Linked DNA regions of Oryzias latipes. The protein of the gene in region 1 purifies or fractionates together with the protein of each later gene. This does not show direct contact. Links are inferred from orthologs where the notes say so. Each region holds a gene or a part of one and is shown on either strand. Other genes may lie near its edges. The genes, in order: card11 and mucosa-associated lymphoid tissue lymphoma translocation protein 1-like.

Evidence for each region.
Region 2: the proteins of card11 (region 1) and mucosa-associated lymphoid tissue lymphoma translocation protein 1-like purify together in Homo sapiens (affinity purification with western blotting; 6 studies listed by BioGRID and IntAct, with this or other methods). This does not show direct contact. The link is inferred for Oryzias latipes from reciprocal best matches to the Homo sapiens genes CARD11 and MALT1.

The regions. Positions count from the first base shown.
Region 1 is NC_019866.2:18,997,729-19,001,551, reverse strand, and holds part of card11 (caspase recruitment domain-containing protein 11), read left to right. Parts: coding exon 1-59; intron 60-1,241; coding exon 1,242-1,485; intron 1,486-1,601; coding exon 1,602-1,677; intron 1,678-1,872; coding exon 1,873-1,968; intron 1,969-2,051; coding exon 2,052-2,169; intron 2,170-3,823. UniProt on the Homo sapiens protein: Adapter protein that plays a key role in adaptive immune response by transducing the activation of NF-kappa-B downstream of T-cell receptor (TCR) and B-cell receptor (BCR) engagement.
Region 2 is NC_019867.2:1,792,861-1,797,249, forward strand, and holds the start of mucosa-associated lymphoid tissue lymphoma translocation protein 1-like, read right to left. Parts: upstream 3,005-4,389; 5' UTR 2,895-3,004; coding exon 2,746-2,894; intron 2,582-2,745; coding exon 2,415-2,581; intron 1,494-2,414; coding exon 1,372-1,493; intron 1,276-1,371; coding exon 1,128-1,275; intron 391-1,127; coding exon 212-390; intron 137-211; coding exon 40-136; intron 1-39. UniProt on the Homo sapiens protein: Protease that enhances BCL10-induced activation: acts via formation of CBM complexes that channel adaptive and innate immune signaling downstream of CARD domain-containing proteins (CARD9, CARD11 and CARD14) to activate NF-kappa-B and MAP kinase p38 pathways which stimulate expression of genes encoding pro-inflammatory cytokines and chemokines.

The DNA.
Region 1 (3,823 bases):
CTGGACGCTGCAGCACTGCTCTGGATTCATCACACTGCACTATCGAGCCAGTTTTGATGGTAACCATTGTTAGAAATAAACAGAAAATCTACCCAGTAATGTCTAACAAAAATTGGGTAATTTGGATATTTTACCTCGTCTGACAGGTGTAAAAGCTCATTTAAAGAAACACTCTGATGAAAATGGTGTTTTTAACATGTTTTTGTGGCATTTCTCTTATCATCATATATACACATATGTATGTATGTGTATGTGTGTATATATATATATATATAAAATAAGCTTAAAATGGCATTTCTGAGTATTTCTTTTTTCAATTTTATGTCAATAGGGGGCAGATGAAAATGAGCAGAGCCTATTTGTGTCGTAGAAAATATGCTGGATGGGTCATAAGCTTCGTTCTGATGCATCCACTTGTAGACAATCACTTACATGTTTGTCTTTGTTTTCCTTGTCTGAGCTGGAATCTGGCTCAAAACTGTACGGCTGCATAGCTCCAATACTGCTTACCATTTTTGTTGCACCGGTAATGTTATGTTGGGGCTGTAAGCTAGCAGGAGCGCATGTAAACAGAGAGCTCTCAGTAATGGGGAAGGGAAGGGGGCGGGGTTGCTCCATGCCATTTTTCCTGCCCACAACGCAATGGTAAATTTCTAATGTTTGCAGAATTATGTCCTAGAAAACAAGACAAGTTTTTTGTTTTTGGCTAAAAGTGGCATAATCAAAATGAAAAGACCACTGGGAACAGTTGGAAAATAGATCAAAAGATGATCGGAGTGCATCTTTGAACTGTGTCACAGAAAACAGGAAATACGGATCTCTGTTAATTTGCAAGTGAACCCTGATGTGGTCACCACAGTAAAGATACAATGGACTGTTCTGTGGGTTAAAGAGAGGAAGTAAACTTATTGAAATCACAAAAGTGGCTTCAAATTTTAGGCGAAAATAAAATGATCCACAGCTAAGATATGAAGGAGTGTGGATCACTACAGTTGGATAAATGGCTAGTTTGTGGATGAGGATAATATAGACAGGAAATGGGTTTAAAAAATACTTTAATAGGATGTATAGTTTAACTTAAACTGCGTGATATTTTGATTCCATCTAGACTTATTCAGTTTTCTAAACTTTAGTGTGAAAGCAAATCAAACCATTTATTTTTTTCTGAACTTCCAGTCAAATCTAGTCTTCTGGTCTGTCTTGTTTTAAAAGTGCGTTAATGCTGTGTTTCTGCTCTCCAGCATATCGCCGTCTCCAGAGGGATCTAGCAGATGGTAAATTAGCTTCTGGCGACTCTTTCTACATCCGAGTAAACCTCAACATCTCCGGACAATCCGACTGCTGCTCTTTAAGCGTGCGCTGCGATGAAGTTGTGCACGTGCTGGATACCAGGCACCAGGGCCTCTGCCAGTGGCTTTGTGCTCGTGTGGAGCCATTTAGTGGCTCTGACCTGGCCGAGCGTGGCACCATTCCCAGCAACTCAAGGTACTTTGCAACTGTTTGTTTAATGTTCTTTCTCATGCAGGAGGATGTTTTATAATGGACAAAAGGAGTTTTGGTTTTGTTAAGACTTTTCTCTTGGTATGAATGGGTGTGTACAGAGCACAGCAGCTGCTGCTGGTGAAGATTCAAAAGTTGGTGTGTCGAAGTGGGAAAGAAGAAATTGACAATAGCAGAGTAAGTGAAAACTTGATTTTATATTCAAGCTACATATTACACAAAACAATTGTATAGTTTTTCATATCAATGCTATTTGATTTCAGCAGACACTTAGTAAGTTAGCTTCGATTTGGGTCAAACACTGTGTCTTCTTTACCTTTTGCAGCTTAAAGATTCTGATATTCTTTCTATTAATTCTTTATGTTTGTCTAGAACACTTTAGCGCCAGAAGAAACAAGCTCGTCTCTCGATCCCAAAGCCAGTCCACGCTTGTCCAGAGCGAGCATTTTCCTCAGTCAGATTCTGCAGGTATTTAAAGAAAACCAATCCCACTCTCATGAGTCAATCTGAGCCCTGATGTGCCATTTCTTGTGGGTTTCTTGGGTTTCTAGTTCGTCGGCAGGGTGGACATCAAATACAAACGAATGAACAGCAATGAACGCGTGAGGATTGTCAACTCTGGCAGCTCATTACTACCAAGACAAGAACTGGAGATGCTCAGGCCTGAAGGTGAGCATAGAAACAATGCTTTTCATGGATGTAAGGGGAATGACGGACCTTGGTTTGATTTTAGGACTAGGGATGCCACGATTCTCAGATAAATCATTGCATTCCTGTTTAGGACCTACTAGGACATAAAAAAATCAAAATCAAAAGTCTGGAACCACAAAGCCTAGCATAAATTCAGATATTCAGATATTTATGTCAAACTGAGAGAAGCTTAAAGGGAAATAAATATATTCTTCTTCTTACTGTTTGATGGTCAAGATTTCTTTAATAATTTATTTTAAGGTGGCAACTATGTTGTATTTATAGACTAATTCATATATTAACGGAACCAATTGTCTCTGATGTTACCTGTAGGATTCTAAATGATGAACATGAATGCCTAACCCTTGTGCTATCCTATGACCCCACCCTTACATTGACGTGTTCTCCCTACCATGACAAAGGTGGATAACGGTGAAGAGGATTTCATGTAATCCATGGACACCAGTGAAGTTTACAAATCATTGAAGAAAAAAGTTCAGGGGTCTAGATGACCCAACTTCCAATGTTAAAGTGCCTAGGATAGCACAAGGGCTAAAAAAGTGGCATGAACATACAGAGTAACTCCTATTCACTCAACAATTGGAGAACTGTCAATCAAGAAAGACCATAGAGATTCTGTTTTTTTTAGGCCACCCAAGACTGCAACCTTCACCCAATCACCCAATCTGCCTTGATTTCTTATAATTGAAAGATAATCCCCTCCCTCCCTGCTGCCCCTAGAGCTGCAAATAAAAGCACCAAATATTAAGAAGTGTTTTTTGACCAGGCAGAGCACAAGTGTATTTTTTGTGTGTTATTCTGCTCTGAACCTTATTTAACACAGTGGTTTACTGGAAGGTTTTGAAACCTGCCTCTGGTGGTTCTTTGAGGAACTGCAGAAGTAGCCACTTCCTAGTTTGATTAAAGTTCTCAGAAAATCTGTTTTTATTTTGTAACATCAGTATTACTTACATCTACCATATAACATTTTTCTGAAGGCTGACTAGAAATATTTATGTTAAGCTTTTGTTAAGCTGTGTTATTGTTTTATTAATTCATGGCTGATGCTCTGTAGGCTGATGAATTCATTAGAAAGACAAAGGAGAAAAACTCTTATCAAATTAGTGAAAAATAGATGGATCTCTCCAGGAGGCAGAAAAAGTTTTAGATGACAAAGAAAAAATGAAAGCTTTGTTTGTGTGGGAGTTAAGACTTGTGCTCTAAAAAACCAGAGGATCACACATAGAAAATGAAAGATTTCTAAAAATAAAATGTGAGAGCTAGAAGGGGGTTGAAGTCTCGGTGGAGGTAGAAGAAAGCTGTTTGAAGAATAAGATGAAAGCAAAGCAAAAATGTCTTTTGAAGTAAACAGAGCAAGAGTGTTTGAAATGTTAAAAAAATTACATTTACTGGTAGACTGTAATGTCTTTACCATTGCTTTGATTACCAAACGAAATAACAAAAGAGCAAAATGTATGAAAAAAATAAAACCTCAAGTTATAACAAATGAAACCAAACCAGGTAGAAAACAGGTTTCCCTCTTTTACAGGGCCATGCTTTTCTTAAGCCTTTTGTAGGAAAAAATATCTATGTACTGGATATGGTAATACATTACCTTTGGAACTCATAATAA
Region 2 (4,389 bases), on another chromosome or scaffold:
GCTGTCCTTGAAGGCATCAGGAAACGGCGCCCTACGTACCGATGGAGACGTCCACCTCGTTGGTCCACATCCTCTCTCTGCTGCTGCTGATCTCGCAGCGGTACCTGCCGGCGTGATCCGGCGCCACGTGAGGGATCTGGAACGACGCCGTCTGGTTAAACTACAGCCGAGGAATCTGATCGACTCGGAAGAGGAGACGGGAAAAGGTCACCGAGAGCTTTCGCTTGGTGGCGTTCGGGACCGGGACTCCGTTCCGGTGCCACTGGTATCGAGGGATGGGCCGCCCCACGGCGCCACACTCCAGCTGCAGGCTCTCCCCGGCGTGCAGCGTCTGCGACTGCGGCTGGACCACCAGCTTCAACCGTCCGTCCAGGGAGTGGTAGCTCTGCCCTGGAGGAGGCGGAGCAGAGGGGAAGTTCGGTTCTGAGCCAATTTTCCTCTCATAGAAAAAAAACTGTTTTACCAAAAGGTAAGAAATGCAAACCCCTAACTACTAAAAAACTATCTAGTGCCCTGAATTTTAAAAGCAATTCTGACACCACGCTCGCTAATTTGTTCTTTAAGGACGGAAAGGACATCATCGATTTTAGGACTTTCAAATCAAATTGATATCAGTGTTTTGCGATGATTATTTATGAGTCTGATAAAAATGTTGATGATTTATTAAAAAAAATACATTTAATGATACTTTTTGGGGAAAAAATTGTTTCGACGCAATGCATTGTGGTCTATTTTCACAGATCTGGTGAGCATCGATGCACACTGGTTTTTTGCAGAGACTTCTGGGAAATTTCTAGGGCTCTGGATTTTGGAATTGTAGATTTGGAAAATGAACAACGCCCTATAGAGTGAAGTAGGGAGGAATTCCGACACAACCATAAATAATCGTCACAAAACACTCATATCAGTTAGGTTTAAACCTTTTGAAATCGATGATGTCATATCTGCCATTTATAAAAAATAACACGTAGTGAGCGTGGTGTCCCAATAGCTTTTAAAATCCAGGGCACTACATGGTGTTTTTAGTATTTAGGGTGGGAATTCGGACACAACCACAGTGAATCACAAAGTGAGGGGGGCGGGGGGCTTTAAGGTGAATTCCTCAGAAATGAAACCCTAAGTCTGACCGTAAGACACCCCGACGTTCAGGACGTCCACCTGAGCCCACTGGCTGAATTCACAGGCGCCCTCGCCGTTCACCCTGCAGATGTAGAAGCCGGCGTCCTTCAGCTGGACGGAGCTGATCAGCAGGTCAGGAGAGCAGCTGCCAGGAACCTGAGGTGGAGACGCAAGAAATGTCTGCAGCCTGTCATCCACACACGGACGCAGGAAAACCGGGAGAAGTCCGGAACCGTGTGTGTGGTAGCAAACCTCCTCTCGGGACTTGAACCACTGGTACTGCACGTCAGATTTCCCCACGGCGAGGCAGCTGAGGCGAAGGTTGTGTCCAACCAGCAGAGCCACGGACTGAGGCTGCAGGAGGATCTGCAGGGCTGAGGGGGCGGAGAACGTGGCGGGTCAGAAGAACCGCAAAACTTTCTGCAGGCGTGTGCATCTGCAGGTGTGGGTTTCTGCAGTTGTGTGTATTGGTGTGTGTTTCTGCAAGTGTGTTTCTGCAGCTGTGTTTCTGCAGGTGTGTGTTTTTGCAGGTGTGTGTTTGTGCAGGTGTGTTTGTGCAGGTGTGTGTTTTTGCAGGTGTGTGTTTTTGCAGGTGTGTTTGTGCAGGGGTGTTTGTGCAGGTGTGTGTTTGTGCAGGTGTGTGTTTCTGCAGGTGTGTGTTTTTGCAGGTGTGTTTTTGCAGGTGTGTTTGTGCAGTTATATTTGTGCAGGTGTGTTTCTGCAGGTGTGTGTTTTTGCAGGTGGGTTTTTGCAGGTGTGTTTGTGCAGGTGTGTGTTTCTGCAGGTGTGTGTTTTTGCATGTGTCTTTGTGCAGGTGTGTTTTTGCATGCGTGTGTTTTTGCAGGTGTGTGTTTCTGCAGGTGTGTGTTTTTGCAAGTGTGTTTTTGCAGGTGTGTTTTTGCAGGCGTGTGTTTCTTCAGGTGTGTGTTTGTGCAGGTGTGTGTTTTTGCAGGTGTGTTTGTGCAGGTGTGTTTTTGCAAGTGTGTGTTTCTGCAGGTGTGTGTGTGCAGGTGTGTTTTTGCAGGTGTGTATAGGTGTGTGTTTCTGCAAGTGTGTTTCTGCAGGTGTGTGTTTCTGCAGGTGTGTGTTTTTACAGGTGTGTGTTTCTTTAGGTGTATGTTTTAGCAGGTGCGTGTTTTGCAGGTGTGTATTTCTCCAGGTGTGTGCAGGTGTGTTTTTGCAGGTGTGTATAGGTGTGTGTTTCTGCAGGTGTGTGTATGACTCATGTTTGACAGAATAATTCAACATCAGAAAGGTCTGAATTCCAGCTAAGCACGTGAGTGACAGCAGACAACCTTGTGGTTTCAGACACTGCAGGGCTTCCGTGTTCCCCAGAGTCTGCAGGTAGTCGCTCAGATGACCCACGGTGCAGCCTCGATCTCCCATCAGCCTCAGCAGCATGAGGCTGGGGCTCCCTCCCACCTCCAGGACCCTCAGGGAGCACATCTCCATGTGGTCGGAGCTGCAGGAGAAAGAACGCAAACGTGTAGAACCACAAAACATGGCGCTGTTCTCCTTTGTTAAAGGCTTTTCAGAACTTGGTAGGACTTTCCTGAACTTTTTCAGGACCCAAAGCCTCAAAGTTTGTCTGTTAACCCGAGAACGGAAGACGATGCGTGAACGTACCTGACTTCAAAGCGTCTGTCGTTGTTGACGATCTCCCCGAGCCGTCTCCATCCTCTGACGCTTGATTTGTCCAGAACTTCGCAAAGTTTCCTCAGAACAGTTTCTTTCAGAGAGGAGATCTTTGTAGATCTGTCCCAGGCGTCGGACATGGTGGTTCTTCCCCACCGGCCTTTTCTCCGCGCCGGCGACCGTGAACAACAACCACCGCCGGCCGCGAGAACGACAACTTCCTTGAAATTCAGACATACAGAGACACGCCCACTCCACCTTAGGTTTCCCCGGCTGCTCTTTGCCAAAGATCCTCTATGTGTAAAGATGCATTACTCTATGGATAAAAACCCAAAATAAACCCATGTCCTGATGCAAAAATGTTATAAATATCAGATGTTCAAATAAAAAACAACAAAGTAACTAAAATAAAAAAACACGAGACCCAAAATTAATAACTGTAAACTTATGTGTGTCACAAGATAACATGGATGGAGTGTGTCTTCATAATACATATACAATCTTTTGTCTTCAGTTAGATTGGGTAGTTTTGTTGTGACGTAGACAGTCTCCGCCTCCATTACGTCATTTTCATGCGTTCATTTGTTATAGCATCAGTCAAAGGTTTTAGCCGAAAGTCCGTCAACAACAGAACAGTTTTTGTTAGTTTATTTTTTTAAATTATTTAAACATAATCATTACAAAACTCTAACAGACACAACCACGCAAAAATGCAAGTCACAGCTCTTCACAAAAACAAAGATAAAAAACTATAACAAAACAAGAATGTACACATATATAAAAAATATAAAAAACTTTCAGCATAAATTAAAATACAAGGCAAACAACAATCTGGACCCTAGATTTGTAACCATTCTGTAGCAGATTTACAAATGTCATCAATGAATGGATTTGAGTTGGGAATACATTTCAATGATGATAAAAACAGTCTGACTTCATTTTTAAAACACAGGAAATTCAGACGATCTTTTCTCCACTTTTCTTATGAATATGATATTTTCCCAAAATCAGGAGGATGTTCACTAATTTTGTTGTCTCTTTTGGCAACTTACTGTCATAAAACAAAATATATTTTTCTGTGAATTGTATGTTTTAAATTTCTTGACTAAGCCAGTTATGGAAATCTTGCCAGAATCTTTATGATCACTGGACATGAAAAAAACAGCTGTTTGGTTGTTTCTGGGGCTCGTGACAGAAATCACACGGATCAACCTCAAAGCCAAATCCACTCCTCAACGTCTCTGCCGATGGGTAATAATTGTCTATGATTTTGAAACACGTTTCTTGAATTTTGGGGACCATTGGCCATTTTATGAATTTCCATAGTTTAGAACCTGATGTGACAGGTGTCTCAGTTATTTTATATTTCACTTTTTTATTAAAGTCATGGTACAATTTACCTTTAAAGGATTTGTTTAGGTATTTATTATCATTTATTATCATTTTTTTCACTTAGTTTTATTTCTCCTATTACTAAATTTGGTAGTTTAATTTGAACATAGGAAGACAATTTTGTATTTTTTATTACGTGTATTAAAGCAATTGGAATTGCTCTGCAGGTTTTCTAATATTCCTTGGTTTTGCATTCAATATCATATTTACTTTTGAAGTCTCTTAACTGAAGAATTTCTCCAT